Saccharomyces cerevisiae S288C: one gene and its partners. Changing the gene in region 2 together with the main gene of any one other region gives a genetic interaction. Each region holds a gene or a part of one and is shown on either strand. Other genes may lie near its edges.

Evidence for each region.
Region 1: mutations in YGL176C (region 2) and YOR381W-A together harm fitness less than expected from each alone (positive genetic interaction), as found in Saccharomyces cerevisiae (one large-scale study listed by BioGRID).
Region 3: mutations in YGL176C (region 2) and FMT1 together harm fitness more than expected from each alone (negative genetic interaction), as found in Saccharomyces cerevisiae (one large-scale study listed by BioGRID).

What each region holds. Positions count from the first base shown.
Region 1 is NC_001147.6:1,056,715-1,059,090, reverse strand, and holds YOR381W-A (uncharacterized protein), read right to left. Parts: upstream 669-2,376; coding exon 501-668; downstream 1-500. Other genes in the region: FRE3 (ferric-chelate reductase), read right to left, coding at 1,411-2,376.
Region 2 is NC_001139.9:168,376-174,944, forward strand, and holds YGL176C (uncharacterized protein), read right to left. Parts: upstream 4,705-6,569; coding exon 3,040-4,704; downstream 1-3,039. Other genes in the region: MPT5 (Mpt5p), read left to right, coding at 1-2,196; ssDNA endodeoxyribonuclease SAE2, read right to left, coding at 4,910-5,947; BUD13 (Bud13p), read left to right, coding at 6,170-6,569.
Region 3 is NC_001134.8:200,516-203,761, reverse strand, and holds FMT1 (methionyl-tRNA formyltransferase), read right to left. Parts: upstream 1,707-3,246; coding exon 501-1,706; downstream 1-500. Other genes in the region: bifunctional glycerol-3-phosphate/glycerone-phosphate O-acyltransferase SCT1, read right to left, coding at 1-224; RRN6 (Rrn6p), read left to right, coding at 2,014-3,246. UniProt on the Saccharomyces cerevisiae protein: Formylates methionyl-tRNA in mitochondria and the cytoplasm. Responsible for the formylation of the 8 N-terminally formylated (Nt-formylated) mitochondrial matrix proteins that are encoded by mitochondrial DNA.

The DNA of each region.
Region 1 (2,376 bases), on a different chromosome or scaffold from region 2:
TCCGATCGCTGTAGGGCTTGGCGTCAGTAGCACCCAGATATTTCACTGTAGGAGCTTACTTCACTCATTTCAATTGGTATACAGAAATCTATGAAATGTAGTTAAAGGCATCACTAATCCGCATCCGCGATACCCGCAACATATACGGAATGTCTATGTAAAAATGTCTCCTGTGACTTTCATTAATCGAATCTTTCTATAAAAAAAAAAATGAGCAAATCACAGTACACCCACTACTCGCATCATCAACGTTGAGTCAGTAGCAAAGTCTCCAGTTATGGTGCCCTCTGGTCCAATTGTAGTAAATTCGTTTGCACGGATGAAAAATAGCTCATGAATGTTCTTGTGTATTTGAATACCATTATGTGCGCGGCTCATACGGATTTAAGTGTGATCTTCCCCTCCGTATTCCCTGTCAATAACTCAAAGTTTTCCCATTTCGGTTTGAAGTTCTTCACAAGGGAGTTTCTTGGCGCAAAGGCATGATGATCGCATTTGCCTCAGTATATTTCGTCATTTCGGTACTGAGAAACGAAATTATTTTGCCTGTTGTCTTGCGTTTTGGCAACCCTTAAGAATTCATCTAATATGTTGGTCCTTAAAGATAAGCGCTTTTGCTTGTAAAATTCTGATTTTTTGTCTTGTGATGGTAATGCTACATTGAACATCAATGCGTATCTGATTTTAAAAAAAAAATTAGAAGTGTGTATAAAATGAAGGTATTATCAGTTGAGCAAATATTACATGTGCTCTTCAAAAGTACCTGCTTTTCATTTAGTGACTATCAGGATGATAACGCCGCTCGTCTTATTTTTAACTGTCGTTTTCTGATAAATGTGTTGAAAACGTGCTAAACAACAATTACCTGTTCTCAAGAGCCTTGAGCCTGGATTGAGAGCAAAAAATCTCTCTTTCATTTTATACAGAATTCGGAAAGAAGATGGATATTTCATGAAAATCTGTTGGTAAAAAGTGGATAAAAATTTTGTATTATTAGTATGTTCTTAGTGGTTAGGTGATAACGAAGCGAGAAAAGCAGGGCAAATGGAATAGAATAGCGTGTAGTTGTTAAAATTTTATTTCACTGAGGCTTATATGCTTACTGAGAAATTTTTTTTTTTTACAAAAAACTTCTTTTTATGTTATACCAGCTGTGGATTACCACAACAATTGGAAAGAACATCAATCCAGAAAAAAAATTCAGTTAATTTGGAGGAAGAGAAATTTAAGTCATGGAACAAGAGTGGGAGACAGTTAAAAAATGCTTCCAAAGATTAGTAGATTGAAAAAGTTTGTGAAAGTCGATCAATTGTCTTCATTGCAGCTAGACATAAATTATGTTTCAGGTCAAAACAATTAAATATATACTTGTGATAGGTAAAATAGTGAGGAAATAAATAAGGTAATTGATTACCAACTTTGGTATTCTTCAAAGTATTCGATTGCCTTTGCAGGCTTCTCTAGAACAAGATTTGCCGTTTGATCCCTTACTTCGTCAACGAAAACAGGAGGCCCACAACAAACCACAGCTAACGATCCATTTAGGTCACCAACTTCATGCAGAAGCTTTTCAACATTGGGTCTTCCATGATGAAAAACAGTACCATCAAATTCAACTGGATTAGGTGACTGTTCTAGGGTAGTTGCCATAACAACACCTTTTCCATCGGCCTTCTCGTCTTGTTGAGAAATTTCCAAACTATCATTAGGAGTTAATGCCGGAACTTCCATTGTATTGTAGATGTGAAGCTGTACATTAAGATCTTCTAGACACATCAGCTCCGGCTTGTAAGCCTCGAGTACGTTAAACCCTCTAACTGCAATCACTAATTTTATGAATTGTTTTCCAGTTGCCGCTGACGTTTTTCCAAGTTTAATGGCGTGTGCAATGGGCCCTGGCAAACCAGTACCTCCCGTAAGTAGCAAGACGTTATCATAATTATTGACTGGAGATGAAGAGCCATATGGACCTTCTATAGCTAGTCTCATAGATGCCTTACCTCCATTGCAACACACATACTTTTTGACAAGTTTTGTTACTCCCTTTTTTTCCTTCAGGATAATAGTCAGCTCACCATCTTTGATAATTGAATCTAAGACTGTGAAAGGATGTGACTGCCAAAAATACAGGTGGTGTAGGAATGAAACGAAAACATACTGTCCTGGTTTGGCTTTCCATAGCCTTACTGGTCGTTTGACTGTGACTCGAATGATGTCATCGCCAACTAACTGTAAGGAAGCCTTAGGGAAACCGAAATAAGATACTCTAACAATTCGAATTAGCCTATCAATAGTCCAGATAGCAATAGCAGCGTATATCCACTCAATCCCACTCAATTCTACGACGTGCTCCCAACACGTATAAAAGAACAATGC
Region 2 (6,569 bases):
CTGGAAATGGATGGTCCCAGGAGAAAATCAAGCCACGATTTCACGGTTGTTGCTCCTTCGAACTCTGGTGTCAATACCTCCAGTTTAATTATGGAAACACCATCCTCTTCAGTGACTCCTGCTGCATCTCTCAGAAATTTTAGCAATAGTAATAATGCTGCTTCCAAATGTGGAGTGGATAATTCGTCATTTGGTTTGAGTAGCTCAACGTCTTCATCTATGGTCGAAATCAGCGCACTACCCCTTAGAGATCTGGATTATATCAAACTTGCCACTGACCAGTTTGGCTGCCGTTTTCTTCAAAAAAAATTAGAAACCCCCAGTGAATCCAATATGGTGAGAGACTTGATGTATGAACAAATTAAGCCATTTTTCTTGGACCTTATTTTGGATCCGTTCGGTAACTATTTGGTTCAAAAACTATGCGATTATTTAACTGCCGAGCAAAAGACATTATTAATACAAACAATATATCCAAATGTTTTCCAAATATCAATCAATCAGTACGGAACTCGTTCCTTACAGAAAATTATAGACACTGTCGATAACGAAGTTCAAATCGATCTCATTATTAAGGGATTTTCCCAAGAATTTACTTCGATTGAGCAAGTGGTTACTTTGATAAACGATCTTAATGGTAACCATGTGATTCAAAAGTGTATTTTCAAATTCTCGCCATCAAAATTTGGTTTCATCATAGATGCTATTGTAGAACAAAATAATATCATTACCATTTCTACCCATAAACATGGTTGTTGCGTACTACAAAAATTACTAAGCGTTTGTACTCTACAACAAATTTTCAAAATTTCTGTGAAAATTGTGCAGTTCCTTCCTGGATTAATCAACGATCAGTTCGGTAATTATATCATCCAATTTCTGTTAGATATCAAAGAATTGGACTTTTACTTATTGGCTGAGTTATTTAACCGTTTATCCAATGAATTATGTCAACTATCTTGTTTGAAGTTCTCCTCAAATGTTGTGGAAAAATTCATTAAAAAATTATTTAGAATCATTACTGGATTTATTGTTAATAACAATGGGGGTGCCTCCCAAAGGACTGCAGTTGCTTCTGATGACGTGATTAATGCTTCTATGAACATTCTTTTGACTACCATTGATATATTCACAGTCAATTTAAATGTGCTAATCAGGGATAATTTTGGTAATTATGCGTTACAAACGCTATTAGACGTTAAGAATTATTCTCCTCTGCTTGCTTACAACAAAAATAGTAACGCAATTGGGCAAAACAGCTCTAGTACATTGAATTACGGTAACTTTTGTAACGATTTTTCATTGAAAATTGGTAACTTGATTGTCCTTACAAAAGAATTACTTCCAAGTATTAAAACTACATCCTATGCAAAGAAAATTAAGTTGAAAGTTAAAGCTTATGCAGAAGCCACAGGTATACCATTCACTGACATATCTCCTCAAGTCACTGCAATGAGTCATAACAATCTTCAAACGATTAACAACGAAAATAAGAACCCCCATAACAAAAATAGTCATAATCATAATCATAATCATAATCATAACCATGCTCACAATAATAATAACAATAATAATCAAAAGAGTCATACCCGTCATTTTTCTTTACCAGCTAATGCTTACCATAGAAGAAGTAACAGCTCTGTAACCAATAATTTCTCAAACCAATATGCACAAGATCAGAAAATTCACTCTCCGCAACAAATTATGAACTTCAACCAAAACGCATATCCCTCGATGGGAGCACCTTCTTTCAATTCTCAAACTAACCCACCATTGGTAAGCCATAACTCGTTACAAAACTTCGACAACCGCCAGTTTGCAAATTTAATGGCACATCCTAATTCTGCTGCACCAATCCATTCGTTCTCATCATCTAACATTACCAATGTGAATCCTAATGTTTCAAGGGGATTTAAGCAGCCTGGATTTATGATGAATGAAACCGACAAAATTAATGCTAATCACTTCTCGCCATACTCTAATGCAAATAGTCAAAACTTCAATGAATCTTTTGTGCCTCGTATGCAATATCAAACGGAAGGTGCAAACTGGGATTCAAGTTTGTCAATGAAGTCGCAGCATATTGGTCAAGGCCCATATAATCAAGTTAATATGAGCCGCAACGCTAGTATTTCCAATATGCCTGCCATGAATACCGCTAGAACATCTGATGAACTTCAATTCACTTTGCCATAATACTTTTTTTTCTTTCTTTTTCTTTCCTTCTTACTGTACAAATATTTTACGCAGAAATCAAAGACAAAAGAAAAATAAAAAATAAAAAATAAAAAATTCAACTAAGCAATGACGTCCTACTAAAGTCCCAAAATTTGAGCCGGAAAAAAATGGTAAAGCAAACTATTGCCATCTTTATATTTTGTATTCTGTTTCCGAACACGTATCCAAAATCCTCCCACTGCCTTTGCAGGGTTAGCATTGCTCCCTACCAAAATGATCTAATTTTTTTTTGAATCGTTTTTTGTCAACGATTATTTTTGTTTTAAATTCCTCATCTTCTGAACTTACGCCCAACTATTATTTAATTCATTCATTCATTAAGCAATCCATACGTCCATTCATTCATTCAGTTTTCTTTTTGTCTATTACTGTCATTTTATTTTCAAATCCAATTGTCCTTTAGGACACTAATGTGTTAAAATATCCATTCGCTCAAGCATTTTTAATAAATAGGAAAATACCGTTTGTTTTTCTTTGTCATTTGTATAAATTTTTCTACTGGTTCCTGTCTTGGTTGGCTTTATTATATTTAGGTTTAACTTGTACTAACAATGATACATATTTGTATATTTTATTATAATATCATATCTAACTATATCTAAAATCGTTGAACTATTCAGAATGGAATTGTACACCAAGAAGAATTATGCTATAACACCATAAGGTCATTACATTTGGGTTTTGACTGCTAATTAGTTCGAAGTCGGCGTTAAAATTTAAAGAATATTTATACATATGAATATGTATATGAATGCAAAGTATGCTAAAATATTTATAAAGCAAAAATCTCGGTGGGCTAAACTAGGTCAAAGCAGATGTTATGAAGATATTGGCCCCATTGTAGGGATCATCTTCTCTCCGAATTAAGATGCATATTTTTTGAGAAAGTGCTTCTTCAGGTATATCGTAAGGTGAAGTACTGCTCTCTTCACCTAGAGGTTCCACAGCATCAAACGGATTTACGTACCTTGGGGGTATGAAAGCCGAATGTAGGTGGATAGATTCAAACTGGAAGTTTTCTAACCTACAGTAGTTCTTCATACCTCCTATTGGATAGAGGGTGATATTTCCACCTTCGGATTTTTCGTAGTCAAGATTTCCAGATAAAGTGGTACAAAATACTTCAAAATCACCCTTTCCGTCCCTAGCGCTAGTTGAACCATAAATGAAGTAGCGCCCGTCATCCGATATCTCGAGTATTTCTGTATCCTTAGTCACGTTTAAGAACTTAGTTTTAAAAGATACAACCGGGATTTCGGTCAGAATGTCCTCCAGGAACGTATCTGCTATAACCAGTTGTTGCACATTCTCTTTGTCTGCCATTCCAGATATAAGTATTAGGCCTTTATTATTCAATGCTTTTATGGAAACAACAGATTTTAGGGAATTTCTGATAGGTTGATTTCGACTTTCTGATGTCATACCGTTGGTCTTGGAGTACTGTAATGTCATGTTTGTAATATTAGTGAAGACTATTGCCATTGAATCACCATTTCTGTAACCTAAATAAAACACACCGGTGTTCGTTTTTTTTAAAGGTGATAAAGCATCTTCTTGTAGACAAAATGATAGGGAAGTAATGTCACTCCTACTTTTGTGTTTTCTTGAGCTTTTGGCAGGAGAAAAGATATAGGGATTTGGAAAGGTTTCTGGAATCAAATCATAAAAATGACAACGATAATTTACGGTAATAATCAACGTGTCTCCAACAACAAGAGAATCATGGACTTGGCAATTTTCTTTGAGTTTGACCTGACGAATTTTGAGCAGTTTTAAGGAAGAAAAGTCTTGTAAAAAGATGGCAAAAGTATGCACGTTAGATCTGGTATTAACGTTGTGATAAAAATAATGGCTCGGCCCTTCCTTGATGGCAACTGTTCTCTCAAGTTTCATTGTTTTGAACACATCAGTTGGCTCGGACTTATATTTCAACATAGGATTTAATTCAGCCATGGAAAACCCCGTAAAGAAATTTTCTTCAGAAAAATTATCCAGGGATGAAAATCCTGCGACATAGCCCTTGTTTGTTGCAAATACTAATTTACTATGAAAACATCCTTCTTGAGTTACCAATAAAATACAATTTGCTAATACTCCTATCTGTATCCTGTGTGGAAAATTGAGTGATTTTACGTTAGCAGAACTATGTGAGTGATGACCTTCAGTGAGAGAATGCGATGCATACTGCATATTTAAACCAATCATGTACTTTTCATATGATAAAGGGCGAAAAGCCCTTTCCAACGGATTCAGAAGACTAAGCTTGTACTTTTGTAATGTTTGCTGACGTTTTTTTTTAATCATAGAAAATTTTTTATCGTAATTTTCCTCAACACATTGTCGCTTTATATTATCTTTTCTGTACTGGTTCGTCGTTCCCGTGGTAGAAATGCTTTGATTTTCAGATATGCGAAAATAACGTCGACGTTCTCTATCATAATAAAACCCTGGTAAGTTAGGTGTCATTTGTTTAACGTCCGTTAACTTCCCCTTTCTGCTTTACCAACTGCTGCTTATTTATTCGCCCTTTTTTGTTTTCCATTGTTGTTCATCTCATTGCCTTTTTTTATTTTTCAGTTTTTCCCATATGCCAACGAGGAAAAAAGCCCTTTCAACCATACCAAAAAAAATGTATTTGAAGTAATGAATAAAGAATGATGATCGCTGGCGTTTAACATCTAGCATATATCTGCAATAATTTATCACTCCAGAAGAAACATCCATCGTCAACAATTTGATTTAATTGTTCTCTTTTGAATACATATTCTCTCTCGTACGGTGGGATCTTGTTATTGCTTGCCATTAAAAACCTATATTTTGTCTTTCTTCTGATGATTTCCTGGGATTTCTTTTTGTCCTCGTTCCCTTCCTGAGTGGAGGGAAAATCCAGTCTTCCAAAACCTGGGGGGGATTTTGATCTATTCCTCAAGTTATCAAACGCAAATTCGTAGTCCGAATTTTGCGATTCTATAACTACTGACAATGATCTGTGTTTAGAATCCTCTGGCTTTCCAACTTGGGCATAAAATCGCTCCAATTTTCTTCTTCCTCTCTTAACCGGGGCGATATCTTCATTTGGTCTAAAGTCTTCGAGAATCCAGGCTCGCTTTGTTAAAGGGTTCGTATTGAAGTCAAACAGGAAATTATCCTTAACATTTTTGTATAAATTTGGCGATGTAGATTCAGGGTTCTCGAGCTCTATTCCCAATAGTTTTCTTGTTTTGTTCTCTTTATCATTATCTTTTTCGTGGATTACAGTATCAGAGCAATCTTCCAAATCGCTTAAGTTGTTGAGGCCATTTAAAGGCGAACTAAACTCCGAAATTTTCCGTTTATGCCTATTAGGTGGCATAGTAACCAGCGGTAACTGCACAGTGTGTTTATTTTCATTACGATAGTGAACCTCTGCTGATTCTTTCTTTATGTCCTCATCAAACTGAGTAAGGATGAAATCTTCAGAATCTTGCTCACCTGGCCCCGCAGACGTCTGAGAGGATTGTTGAGGAGCATTTTTTTCGTGACATAGAATTTCAGCCAGTTTACTGTTAGGTTCTTCGAGAACACATTTATTCCGATTTTGCAGTGCTTGAACACGTTTCGCGATTAAGGTAGTCACGTCATACTGCACATTTAGTAGTTCATCGAGACTGAGCTCCTTGAGAATGGATAAGCTTGACTTTAGATACACATTTTCTTCACCAGTCACCATCTCACATACAAACACCTAATGGCTTACAGCATGGATGGAAATGCAGGTATGTGAACGATAACAATGTTTGCAAACGTAAACAAAAAAGGTATTAAAGCTTAAAAGCTTTTTTTTTGTAGAACGCGCTTAGAAAATGGCATAAAGAAAATGGCTATTTGACTTGATTTTGAAAGTTGTTCTCAAGACTCGAATGGTGGAAGATAACAACAGGACGTTTATTACATGGCATTGCATCAGTATTTATCAGAGACTTATGGGCCCACGAAACCCAAAAATAAGACGAAAAAGAAGAAGAAAGAGTCAAAATCAGACGCTAACTCAGACAAAACTTCTTTGATAGTAAAAGAACGGCTAAGTACACTGCAACAAGAACAGGAGAAGTCAGGAGTTGCTTCATTCAGCAAGTTTGACAAACAAAAAAGCAAGAATATATGGAAGAACCTGGAAACAAACGAGCTTTCCCATGCAATAACACATCCTTCCGCATCGTCAATTACTGGCAACGAAAGCAAGAACGATCTAAAGGAAATCAGGGCTCAAGAGCCACTTGTCACAGTAGCAGACAAATCGAAAACACGAAAAACCATATACAGAGACGCTCAAGGTCACAAGATTCAGGAAG
Region 3 (3,246 bases), on a different chromosome or scaffold from region 2:
AAACTGCCCCGGCCTCTGATTTCTCTAAAGAAGCAGTGGAAGATGTTGTACAACAGCCATGTGGCGATGGAGTAAAGTATCTTCTTGGTAGCGCTAGGCTCTTGGTAGATGTATGCCTGATCAGCCGACGTCTTGACGCTTTTGGCCTCGATGGAACTGTAATTCGTAGTTTTCTGTGTGCTCTTGGAAGAGGCAAATTTCTCCGTGAGTTTTGGTGCAGGCATTTTTTTTTACCCCGATGTAAACGCCCCTGTGCTCTTTTTACTATATATTTAATTCCGGGCTTCCTACACTTAATTCACTCTGTTATGAACTACAAGCCATTACTAACATCAATCTTTCCGAATCATAAATAAACTGCAACTGGGAAAGAAGGCGGGCCTACTTTTCTTTTTCTTCATAGCGCGTAGGGCTTGGCAGCCATAGTTGTTGAGAGACCGATGGATGAGGGATTGAAAGAAGGGAGAAGAAGAATACTAAAAGAGGAATGTAGAGCCGGGTTACAGGAAAACTAACTTTTCACTCAGGGCGCCGCATCTTTTCCGCAGGCGCGCCATGAACTGGCCAGCACGTTCTACGGCGAAACCTTCGAACTGGAGGCGGCTCACACATAGTAGTAAGTTGCCGCGACAGGTGACCAAAATACAGTCTTTAATATCATCATATTTGAACATGCCCGGTTTACTGCCATTATCTAGACGTGCGTCTCTCATCACTTTACACTCATGAAACAATATTCGTTTTAATACTGAATTTTGAGCGTCCTTTCTTGCCGCTGTCGCTTCTTTGAACGCGTGCAGAGGACCGAGCGTTTCGAGTTTGTTAAGTAGTTCGGCGGCAGAATCGCGCGCCCAATGAATGCGTTTATCTTCTGTTGTTATACGGTGGGCGTAACTGGGTTTGTAAGCTGTTGGCGCTTGCACACGGTTCTGTGGTAGATATAACCTCTCACGAAGCGTTTGGCCCAAAAGTTGGGCGCCAAGGGCGCCCAACTGGTCCATCAGTATGGCAGTCCTCCGAGGCAGGCCCTCAGAATTAAAATCTGCCGTCGAATCATTGACTCTCCCTTTTGACAGCATTGTTGCGATCGCCAGTGGCTCCGTCTGCGCTACAATTGCACCATGGTCAAACCGATCCGGATGCAGTGTCTGTATAGTTACACCGGTGTAAGTGTCACCCTCGAGCAGAGCTCGCTGGATAGGTGCACTGCCTTTATGTCTGGGAAGTAGCGAAGGATGGACGTTTAGCGCCAATGGCACCGCGCGGATCAAGTCACCCGGAATGAGCTTCCCAAAAGAAACCGCAATGATCGCGTTGAACGGAGCACCGGAGCCGTCGTTCTCCGGATTTCCTTGGCGACTGGGTGTCAGTTTGCTTAGCGCCAACATTTCCTGCTTGGTGTCGCATGTAATTGGGCGTGGCAATTGAAGCTTCTCTGCCATATCGAAGATCGGCGGGTATTTCAAAATAGACTTCTGTCTACCGCACCACTTCGGCGACCTAGTTACTACTTGAATATTGTCCACTATACCACAGCTTCCATTATTTTGACGCAACTCATTGAGTGCTTGCAATGAGAAATTACTGAAAGTGTCGCTACCAAAGAAAAGCACATTCAAGGGCTGCACTGGTGGAGAAGCATTGTTTGAAATATATCTGCATGTGAATAGGAGGCGTGTAGGTGTTATTCTTCTCATTTTAACCATTTGTTTGATACGCCGTTTTCAATCTTCTCACTATGAGGTGCCTAGGTCCCCTTCCTTTTTTTTCTTACCTCTCTTTTTACGTTAATGAGAAAAGCGCTTACTCCTCTCCATAATAGCAGGTACAGCTTTTTTTGCTTTTTTCTTAATGGACGCTTCTTCCATTTGATATAAATATGGGTTACCCTGTGGGCATACGATAATTTTTATTCTCTCGATTAAGAAACCGAGATGAGCTTTCATATTAGTTTGGTAATGATATTGATGTGGCAAGTTGAAGTAAAGAGAGAAGGCGTTCTATGGGCTGAGCATGAGTGAGGGACAAATTCCAAGCTCAGATGTGTTAGGCTCGCAATTGGGTGTTGGTGTACAAGGCGCCAGTCTTTACTGTCCGCAAGAAAATTACACTACGAAGAAGCAAGAAAAGCCACAATGGCTAAGACCAGTAGATGATACATTGGCCGAGGATGCACTAGACCTTCATATAGTGGTCAAAAGTCTGCTTTGTGATACTGCCATAAGATATATTTCCGACGACAAGGTTTTGCAAGAATCAGATGCCGACGATGATCTCATAACTAGCGATATTGATGAAGATACGGACAATCAGGGGGATACATCTATAGTGGTCAATCCAGTGATACCCGTGGTACCGAAAGATGTCCATTTTTTTAAGAAAGTTGACGTTGGTAATGATTCTATGTTTGGTGTGAACTGCGATACGCCAGTTTCATTTCAAGATTACATTCCTTCAGATTTGCTGCGCAACTTAGATGATACATTACAAGAAAGTACTAACTCTTCGAGGCCGATGCAAGACGCCTTCTTTTGGGATCCTACTGTGGCTAATCGACTGGACTCTCAATATATTCAGACAGCATCAGATTTAAGAAATTATAGAGACGGAACCGAAATCATAGCATATGCCTCGGGTAAAACAGGCTCAGTCCTAAATATAGCAGTTCTGACACGACAAAATACATTGCATTTAAACCGACATAACAATGTAACGAGTATCGAATTGCATTCACCTATCAAGAGTATTAAGATACCGGGGGCCTCTGAGTCCATCGGGCGGAGATCAAACCTGGTGGGCATAATCACCGAAAATTCTTTCCAAATCTTTAGAATTGAAAGTGTCCACTCAAGATCATGTGATGTCATGGTTAGTAGTTCAGAACCACTGTATTTTGTTGAAATAGACGACCTTCAGGTGGTAGATTTTGCATTCAATCCTTGGGACTTACAACAATTCGCAATCATTGATATAAAAGGTAACTGGAGTATCGGGAGGATACCAAAGAATTTCAATAATAATAACAAAAGGAAACTACAGTTAATAGATAACCTCCACGGTACGATTTTTGATCCAGAAGAATTATCGTCATGGAAAAGAATAGAATGGTTTTCACACTTCCAAAAAATACTGGTCTTTGATAGGTCCAAAATGATTGAGATCGACTTTATGAACAATTGGCAAACGGAAGTAGTACAAGCGAAAGCATGGTCAAACATACGTGATTATAAGCGGATAGATGATAAA